Yarrowia lipolytica: one gene and its partner. The protein of the gene in region 2 interacts with the protein of the main gene of each other region in a pairwise test. Links are inferred from orthologs where the notes say so. Each region holds a gene or a part of one and is shown on either strand. Other genes may lie near its edges.

Region 1 (2,829 bases), on a different chromosome or scaffold from region 2:
ATCGACATGACGCCTTCCTTGTGATGTTTTGTGAAGATATGGCGATTGCCCCGTCCGTATTGAACGCGCATTTTGGAGAATCCCAGCTGGGAAAGCGTAGTAATGGATTCATGTGAGAGTACCAGCTCGATGAGAGCCTCAAACGGCACCGTTCCACCTGTTGTTACCAAGACCAGCATGGTGGTGTAGATGTTGAGGATGATGAATACGACACTACAGTCCCAGTTGTACAACTTACTCAATGCACTGCTTTCATGCATGACCGATTGAGGTCCAGGACGACTAGGATTGGCACACTGTTAGGTGGGATATTCCAAACGACTGTGACAGAAATCATGTCTGCTACTGGGCTGATTCTACATCTTTTAAAGCCGAAAAACGCGTACTCTGGCTGCATCTGCTTTTGTGCTGAATTTGAGTGTAGAGTTCGTTCGATTTACGTGTCAGTATACATGGACAAGTTGACACGGCTATTAAGATGCCAGAACTTGTGTGTGGCAGTAGCTACAAGTAGTGTACTAGTACAGCACCTCAAAAGCACATAATGTGACACTTCAACCAACACAAATTACTAATTGTTACTTCATTAAATCATTATCTTATCATACATTTAGTAACCAGCGGCACCAGGGGCGTCGACGTCACCCTTGAGAGACAGAAGAATCTCTCGGAATCGAGTCTTGTCTCGAGAACCCTCCTTGGTTCCGGTGTCAGAGTCATCAATCAGCTTCAGAGCTCGGTCCCAGGTGGTGCCAGAGGAAGAGGAAGTATCATCTATGCTTGCAAGGAACTCCTTGGCGGCCTCCTGAGTGGACTTGACGCCCTCATCACGCTTGGAGTTGTAGTTCTCGTAAAAGTCGTCAATGGCCTTCTGGGCCTTCTCAATGGTCTCCTTTCGCTTAGCCTCGGCCTGCTGGTCTCGTCGCTCAATCTCCAGCTGCTGTCGCTCCTTCCACTCCTTGATAGCGGTGGACTCGGACAGGTTCAGGCTCTTGACGGAGGTCTCAAGGCCATCGACGGGAGAGGAATCCTCGGTAGCCTCAGCAGTAACAACGTTGCCGGTGGTAGCCTGTGTCTCCTCCTCGAGGGCGGGGAAGTCCTCCTTGAATGCGTTCTCGGTGAGATCGTTCTCCTCGTCCTCCAGGGAAGGGAACGACTTCTTGAAGTCATCCTCGTCGGCGTGGGTGTCCTTGATGTCGACATCGACTTCGACATCCTGAGGGAGATCGTCAATATCTTCGAGAGCGGGGAATTTGTCAGCCATTGTTGATGTGTGTGACGTTGCGTTATTTGGGTGATGAATCTTGGGAGGTGATGATGTGGAGCTTATTGACGTCACGTGTCATGAAAGTCTAAAATGTTGATAAGGTGGCTGTGGTTGTGCGAGGAGGAAAATCACGTATGGAAGTGAATTGTTTTTGTTTTTTTTGAAATTAATCCGATCAATGCGACCAATTCATTATCCCTACATTTCCAGTAGCCCCACACAATCTCTGGAGCCCCCGTTCTGACTGTACTCAGGCACAGTCAATGACCAGCCTTCTTTGGATTACTGTACGTACAAAATGTACAGTAGTCCCAATGGCAACATCGTACAAATATTTGTTGAAATTGTACTTTAATTAGTTGGTCAGACAAGGACTATGCAGAACAACGTAAATAAGTTACGAAAGGCCTAAAAACCGACTTGCAGTTTGCTGCAATTCTCCAGAACAATCATTTTAGCGACCGCTTTTACTGTCTGGAGACAACCAGAAAAGCGACACACCTGTTTTTACACCGTAACCGACAACAGGAACGTTACTGACACACACACACACACACACAGATCCACAGGGGCTTTTAGCAAGCATCATCACTTCATATCTCATCCTATTCAACACAACACCACATGTCTTTCTCAGTGGACTCTTTCATGTCGAAGCTGTCGGCACTCAATGAGACCCAGGACTCAATTGTCTCGGTGTCTCAATGGATCCAGTTCCACCGACGAGCTTGCGGACCCATCGCACAGACCTGGTACGACTACATTCGAAACATTCCTCTCAAGCGAAAACTGGCTATGATCTACCTCGCTAACGATGTGGTCCAGCAGGCCAAGGCCAAGAAGAGAGACGAATTCATCGAGGCGTTTTCCACTGTCATTGTGGACGGAATAGTATCCACCTACCGCGAGGGCAACACCGATCTCCGGAACAAAATCAAGCGAGTGGTGGAGGTCTGGGAACAGCGACAGGTCTTCAGACCCGACGTAATCGAGGAGATCAATAGCAAGACAAGACAGCTTGACAGCAGCGAAGGGCCCACCGGATCAGATGCCCTTGGAGGCAGTTCAATTGGAGGTACAGGACTCGGAGGCATTGGTGGATCGGGACTTGGCGGTCTAGGGGGAATTGGGGGATCTGGCTTAGGAGGAATCGGAGGCTCAGGTCTTGGAGGAATCGGAGGGTCCGGATTGGGTGGCATTGGAGGAACTGGCTTTGCAGATCTGGGTGGCTCAACGGCAGCACCGTCAGTTCGATCCGAGTTGCAGGAGCTCAACACTCTGCTCGGAAAGGTGACTAAAACTACGACCGTCACTGAGACCAAGAGCAAGCTTGAGTCCAGTCAGAAGTCACGGGATTCGCAAGCTCTTGCTACTCTTCTTGAAACAGTAAACAAGACTATCACAGACATTTCTGCCAACCAGAAGCTGCGCAGCGAGATTGATAGTGCTCTGCTGACTCTCAAGAACAAGCAGGCGTCTCTCCTTGAAGAGGATAAACACAACATGACTATGTTCGAGAAGATGAAGAAGGAAATCCAAGATGCTCAAAAGGAGGTCTCCAG
Region 2 (7,629 bases):
GAACGAGTTTGGAACGCATCTTTCTGATTGTCTTAGAAGCCAGTGTCGACTTTCCGTGAACACCAGTCGTCAATCTGCGAATCAGTTGTGCAAAGTGTTCATATTCGGATGCTACGTATGAGTGGAAAGATGGAATTTGAGCTGGAATTCAACTGAAGCAAAGAATATTCCCAATTGACTGAGTTGGTTCCAAAGTGTTCGGCTTTCGGGGACGACTTATGGACCTCTTTTCTCATCAAACAAAGTAGCGTCTGTTGCCAAGATCGAGTTGGTCTGGAGTTTTTTCAACCGTACCGGTATCAGACAGTAGCAATACGAGTGCCAATACTCGAATAAACGGTACAATATCATATCTAGAGCTCCCCCCTTACTATTCAGGTACAGTACAATACCTTCAAGTGTAGCGGATTCGTACTTCTAACGATTTCATCCAAGATTGCATCAAACCCACACCTTTCCACTCGTACTCACTCATACTCGTACTCACTCATACTCGTACTCACTCATACTCGTACTAATCTCCCCATTTTTCCTTCCACCTCTTTAGCGGAGATCACAACTTTCGAGGTTAACTCCGACCAGATTAACTCCGTAAAACGCAATTTCACTGAAATAATAAAAATAGTCAGAGAGATCACAGCTGGAATACCAAATCTGAAGAAACAGTACGCAATTTCGCAACCAACAAACCGGTACAAGTAAACCTCATACGCTCGTACTTTACTCGCACTCGCACTCGCACTCGCACTCGCACCCTACCCCCGAGACACTTCTGCACATACCTGATGCAAGACTCAGCCCCTCTGAAATTTCAGGGTGAAAAATGCCAAGTACAAGTGCAACTGGGATACTTAGCCGCTCATAGCCCTCGTAGTCAAATGCCCTAACCCATAGCGGTTTGCAACGCCAAAAGCTCTATAAATAAAACCTGTCTGTCCTTACCCAGCTCAATTGCGTCTGCTGGAGCTGCTTCAACTTCCACTTTCCACTTTCACTTTTCCACTTCCACTTTTCGGCACTGGGCTAATAAGATGCGGGCACATATGCCAAGACAATGAACACAACGTGGCAGCATGAGATTGTTTAGATAATTTGACCCGCCAGCGAATAGTGTCAAAGGGCCATTTTCAGCTTCAAAGGTCAGAAAAACGGCGTTTTCTCGTAACGTGGTTTTGTCATAAACCTGTGTCTCTCGTACATTTTCCGTACACATTTTATCATTGCATCCTTATTTTCACCCCTACACTTAATTCAATAGTTATTTTAAAATACTCAGTTAAATTGTCGTTAAATTGGGGTTAAATTGTCGTTCAAATGTCATCAAATGTCGTTAAATTGATCCTGATGGTCGTGAAATTGCCACCTACACACACACGTTCTGAACCCTAACCCCTTGGGCAAGGTGTGCATCGTGCGTTGTGTGTGCCTGTAAACTCCAGGCAAACCCTAACCTTGAGCCGTGGTCCAGCCAACCACAACTCAGTAGGGCTAGCATACGGTATTGTGGAGCGATTTCGAGGCGGATTTCGTGTGGATTGTTGTACTGAGGCTGGGTTGGGCCCATTCTGCCCTTGCCCCCGTTTATCCGTTTCCCTAACCCGCGTTTGCGGTCTCCTGTACTGCGCCATTTAGGACACATCATCAAGGTTGCCTAACTGTACACAAGTGTGCTCCCAACTCTTTCTTTCTTCCACCATCCTCAACATGTCACAGGATTTGCCCATTACGTTTCAGGAGCATCTCCAGCTTCAATCGCTGGGTGTTCCTGAGGCCTCCATTGGTTTCAACACATGTACTTTGCAGAGTGATCGTTTTGTTTGGTGAGTATGGCGAGCGGTGATGATTTGGATAGTCAGAGGCGCGATAGACGACAGTCACGGACAGGCGGGTGACAGATAGACGACCGAGGGTCACAGACGGGGACGGGATACGCAATCAACAAGACGGATGGAATCAATGATTGAAATTGGACGTGGAGTCATCAGGATGCAATGGTGCATGTTTGCGATTGTGGGGGAGGGGGGAGGGGAACACATGTGGTGATGCATCCTGATGTTACAACAATGGTGTCAACATGACGATTCTCCTGATTCGTCTGTCTGTCTGGATTGTGTCCGACTGGTGGATGGATCAGTCCATCGCGATCGGGATCGGTCGCGTCGCACTCGAGTCTCAACACCTACATGTCCTACATGTACTAACTCAGCGTTCGGGAAACAGCCAACACTGGCAACACCGTGGCAATCATCGATCTCCACAACAACAACAATGTCGTGCGACGAAACATCTCCGCTGATTCGGCAATCATGCACCCCACCGACTTTGTGATTGCCGTGCGATCCAAGGAGGGCGCCCTCCAGGCCTTCAACCTCGAGACCAAGCAGCGACTGGGCAGCAGTCAGCTCTCTGTCCCCGTGGTGTTCTGGACCTGGGTTGACGCTGAGACCATTGGCATCATCACCGAGACTGAGATTCTGCACTGGAAGGTTGGCACCACAGACCCCGTCAAGCTCACCGACCGACACCACTCGCTCAACGACTGCCAGGTGATCAACTACATCTCCAACGGCAGCTGGAGTGCTCTGGTCGGCATCACCCAGCGGGACGGCCGAATTGCAGGCCAGATCCAGCTCTACAGCAAGGAGCGAAACGTGTCGCAGGCCATTGAGGGCCACGCTGCCACCTTCACAAAGCTGCAGCTGCAGGATGGAGCCAGCCCATCGGATCTGTTTGTCTTCGCCAACCGAGGCAAGCTGCACGCCGTCGAGATTGACCACAAGGACGAGAATCCCGTCTACCAGAAGAAGCAGGTGGATATCTTCTTCCCCCCCGAGGCCGCCAACGATTTCCCCGTGGCTGTCTTTGCCGCCGAGAAGTACGGCGTTGTCTACGTCGTGACCAAGTACGGTTTTGTTCACGTCTACGACCTGGAGCAGGGTCTGTGCATCTACATGAACCGAATCTCCAGCGAATCCGTCTTCACCGCCGCAAGTTACCAGAAGAAGGGTGTCCTGTGTATCAACCGAAAGGGACAGGTGCTTTCCGTCGAGCTCAACGAGCAGAAAGTTGTCCAGTACATTCTGAGCAGTCTTGGTAACGCCGGTGTCGCTCTGGCTGTCGCCTCTCGTGGAGGCCTCCCCGGCGCCGACGACCTGTACGAGCAGCAGTTCTCCCAGCTGCTCAACCAGGGCGACTACGCCAACGCCGCCAAGGTGGCTGCTTCTTCACCCGGTGGCCGACTGCGAACCCCTGCCACCATCCAGAAGCTCAAAAACGTGCAGGCACCCCCTGGCGGCATCTCGCCCATTCTGCAGTACTTCTCCACTCTGCTCGACAAGGGTTCTTTGAACAAGGTCGAGTCTATTGAGTTGGCGCGACCCGTGCTGCAGCAGGACCGAAAGCAGCTGTTTGAGAAGTGGCTGCAGCAGGACAAGCTCGAGTCCAGCGAGGAGCTTGGAGACATTGTGCGACAGTTCGATCTCAAGCTCGCTCTGCAGGTCTACGTTCGAGCCAACGTGCCTCTCAAGGTTGTGGCTGCTTTTGCCGAGCTCGGTGAGTTTGACAACATTGTGCCCTACTGCGAGAAGGTCGGATACACTCCCGACTATATTGTCCTGCTTCAGAACATTGTGCGGGTTAACCCCGACAAGGGTGCCGAGTTCGCCACCTCGCTTGTAAAGAAGGGCGAGGATCTTAACCTCAACAAGGTGACCGACATTTTCCTGTCTCAGAACCACATTCAGGCCGCCACCGCCTTTTTGCTGGATGCGCTGAACCAGAACCTTCCCGAGCAGGGCAACCTGCAGACACGGCTTCTGGAGGTCAACCTGATCAACGCTCCCCAGGTTGCTGACGCCATTCTGGGCTCCGACATGTTCTCCCACTACGACCGTGCTCGAATTGCCTCTCTGTGTGAGAAGGCTGGTCTGATGAACCGGGCTCTGGAGAACTACGACGACCTCAAGGACATCAAGCGTGTTGTTGTGCACTCCGAGAACTTCCCTCCCGATGCTCTGATTGCCTACTTTGGCAAGCTCACCGTGGACCAGACTCTGGAGTGTCTCAAGGAGATGCTCAAGTTCAACATCCGACAGAACCTGCAGGTTGTTGTGCAGATTGCCACCAAGTACTCTGATCTGGTGGGCTCGCTCAACCTCATCAAGGTGTTTGAGGAGTTCAACTCCCAGGAGGGTCTCTACTACTACCTGCAGTCCATTGTAAACCTGAGCGAGGACCCCGATGTGGTGTTCAAGTACATCACTGCTGCCGCTGCCATTGGCCAGACCAACGAGATCGAGCGAATTGTGCGGGAGAACAACCACTACAACGCCGAGAAGGTGAAGAACTTCCTCATGAAGGATGCCCACCTGCCTGACCAGCTGCCTCTGATCATTGTCTGCGACAAGTACGACTTTGTGCACGACCTGGTGCTCTACCTGTACAAGAACCAGCAGTACAAGTTCATTGAGGTGTACGTGCAGCGAGTCAACCCTGCCCGAACTCCCAAGGTGATTGGTGCTCTTCTCGACGTTGACTGTGACGAGTCCATCATCAAGGATCTGCTCATGTCGGTTGTTGGCCAGGTCCCCGTGTCCGAGCTCGTCGAGGAGGTCGAAAAGCGAAACAAGCTCAAGCTGCTGCTGCCCTTCCTCGAGAAGACTCTCAACGGTGGTTCTCGAGACACCGCTCTGTTTGATGCTCTTGCCAAAATTTACATTGACAGCAACAACAACCCCGAAAAGTTCCTCAAGGAGAACAACGAGTACAACCCCCTGGTTGTCGGAAAGTACTGTGAGAAGCGAGACCCCTACCTGGCTTTCATCTGTTACGAGAAGGGCGGTCTGGACGACGAGCTTGTCAAGATCACCAACGAGAACAGCATGTACAAGCAGCAGGCTCGATACCTGCTGGCCAAGCAGGACGAGGCTCTGTGGAACAAGGTTCTCTCTGGCGACGAGCACAAGCGACAGCTTGTCGACGCTGTTGTCGGCACTGCTGTGCCCGAGTCCGACTCTCCTGAGGCCGTTTCCATCGCCGTCAAGGCCTTCATGGCTGCCGATCTCCCCGCTGAGCTGCTCGAGCTGCTCGAGAAGATCATTCTCGAGCCCTCTCCTTTCAGCGAGAACGCCAACCTGCAGAATCTGATGATTCTGACCGCCGTCAAGGCCGACAAGTCTCGAGTCAGCAACTACATCGAGCGTCTGGACCACTACGATGCCGACGACATTGCTCAGATCTGTATCGACAACGAGCTGTACGAGGAGGCCTACGAGATCCACAAGAAGCACGACAAGCACGGCCAGGTCATGAGCGTCCTGACCGATCACATCATGTCTCTGGATCGAGCCTCCGACTACGCCGAGAAGGTCGACACCCCCGAGGTGTACTCTCTGCTTGGTAAGGCTCAGATCGATGGTCTGCGAGTTGGCGATGCCATCAAGTCTTACATCAAGGCCAAGGATCCCTCCAACTTTGCCCAGGTCATCGAGATTGCCAGTCATGCCGGCAAGGACGAGGAGCTGATTGATTTCCTGAAGATGTCTCGAGACATTTCTCGGGAGCCTGCCATTGACTCTCAGCTGCTCTTCTCTTACGCTGCCACTGATAACCTGCGAGCCATGCAGCAGCTGCTTGACTCGCCCAACGTTGCCAATGTGGAGTCTGTGGGAGACAAGCTGTTTGCCGACAAGAACTACGCCGCCTCCAAGATTCTGTACTCTTCCATCTCCAACTGGGCTAAGCTCGCCGCTGTGCTCGTCTACCTCGGTGACTACCAGGGAGCTGTCGACTCTGCTCGAAAGGCGTCCTCCGTCAAGGTGTGGAAGCAGGTCAACCAGGCTTGTATCGACAACAAGGAATTCCGACTGGCCCAGATCTGTGGTCTCAACCTGATTGTGCACGCCGAGGAGCTGCAGGATCTCGTCACCCAGTACGAGTACCACGGCTACTTCACCGAGCTCATTTCTCTGTTTGAGCAGGGTCTCGGTCTGGAGCGTGCCCACATGGGTATGTTCACCGAGCTGGCCATTCTGTACTCCAAGTACTCCCCTGGCCAGATGATGGAGCACCTCAAGCTCTTCTGGTCTCGTGTCAACATCCCCAAGGTGATCCGAGCCTGCGAGGCTGCCCACCTGTGGCCCGAGCTTGTCTTCCTGTACTGCCACTACGACGAGTGGGACAACGCTGCTCTGGCCATCATGGAGCGATCCACTGATGCGTTTGAGCACTCCTCCTTCAAGGACATTATTGTCAAGGTGGCCAACCTGGAGATCTACTACAAGGCCATTAACTTCTACATGAAGGAGGTTCCCATGCTGGTTACTGACCTGCTGTCTGTGCTTGCTGCCCGAATCGACGTGTCTCGAGTTGTGCGAATGTTTGACAAGTCCGACAACTTGCCCATGATCAAGTCTTTCCTTGTGACTGTGCTTGAGCAGAACCTGGCTGCCGTCAACAACGCCTACCACAACATTCTGATTGAGGAGGAGGACTACGTGACTCTGCGAGATGCCGCTGACGCCTACGACAAGTACGATGCCATCGATCTCGCCCAGCGACTCGAGAAGCACGACCTTATCTTCTTCCGACAGATTGCTGCCCATCTGTACAAGAAGAACAAAAAGTTTGCTAAGTCCATCACTCTGTCCAAGCAGGACAAACTGTGGAAGGACGCTATCGACACTGCTGCCGTGTCGGGCAAGCAGGACGTGTGTGAGGAGCTGCTGCGATACTTTGTCGGTACCGGCAACAAGGAGTGCTACGTCGCAACTCTGTACACCTGTTACGACTGGCTGCGACAGGATGTCGTGGAGGAGGTCGCCTGGAGACACAAGCTGGAGGACTACACCATGCCCTACAAGATCAACGTCACCCGGGAGAGCTCTTCTCTGCTGCATGCGCTCCAGAAGGACAACGAGGAGCGAAAGGCCAAGGAGGCTGCCGCTGCTGCTGCCGAGAGCGAGACCCCCATCATTGGTGGAGGTCAGCGGCTCATGATCACCCAGAGCAACGGAATGTACTAGAGAAGGAAATTTGTGTATGATTGAATGTAATAAATGTCTTGTATGAATATGAATAATGAGAACAGTTTGAGCAGTGAGAGAATATGAACAAAAACATGAATAAACCGTCAGCCCAGATTGCAAGGGTAGATGACTAAGCGACAAGAAATAGGACTGTTGGGGAGCAAAAAGATTGAGCGGTAGGGGAATTGAACCCCTGGCACCTGCTAGCAACTGTTTGGAAGGCAGATATGTTACCACTACACCAACCGCCCGACTCGATGGAAATCGGAGTGCCGAGGTGTAATATAACGAGACAAATCGCGCCGAAAATTCCGATTTACGGGTGTTTGATAATTATGCAAAGATTTGTGAGCTTCAAAGAGTTGATTGTTTTTTTGGTTACGTAATTAGGATGTTTTTTGAGGTCCCCTTTTTTGTATTAACTAATGTGTCAAGTAAATTAGTTGTTTGAATGTTCAAGTAACTTTAATACTCCTAGAACGCGTGCAGAAACACGTTATTTTTTGCCAGAAAAAAAAAACATCAACACTTGTATACACAACACAAACAACATGGTACGACCGCGGGTTTCTCTGGCGCCCAACCGGCTCAATCACGCTGGCAG

The links. The genes of interacting proteins can lie anywhere in the genome.
Region 1: the proteins of YALI1_A17177g (region 2) and YALI1_E39385g interact in binary tests that used the Saccharomyces cerevisiae proteins (3 or more experiments, as listed by UniProt). The link is inferred for Yarrowia lipolytica from reciprocal best matches to the Saccharomyces cerevisiae genes CHC1 and CLC1.

The regions. Positions count from the first base shown.
Region 1 is NC_090774.1:3,936,920-3,939,748, reverse strand, and holds YALI1_E39385g (uncharacterized protein), read right to left. Parts: upstream 1,265-2,829; coding exon 611-1,264; downstream 1-610. Other genes in the region: YALI1_E39395g (uncharacterized protein), read right to left, coding at 1-260; YALI1_E39378g (uncharacterized protein), read left to right, coding at 1,892-2,829. UniProt on the Saccharomyces cerevisiae protein: Clathrin is the major protein of the polyhedral coat of coated pits and vesicles. In yeast, it is involved in the retention of proteins in an intracellular membrane compartment, presumably the trans-Golgi. The yeast light chain is important for cell growth.
Region 2 is NC_090770.1:1,712,308-1,719,936, reverse strand, and holds YALI1_A17177g (uncharacterized protein), read left to right. Parts: upstream 1-1,704; coding exon 1,705-1,820; intron 1,821-2,206; coding exon 2,207-7,022; downstream 7,023-7,629. Other genes in the region: YALI1_A17123g (uncharacterized protein), read left to right, coding at 7,577-7,629. UniProt on the Saccharomyces cerevisiae protein: Clathrin is the major protein of the polyhedral coat of coated pits and vesicles. In yeast, it is involved in the retention of proteins in an intracellular membrane compartment, presumably the trans-Golgi.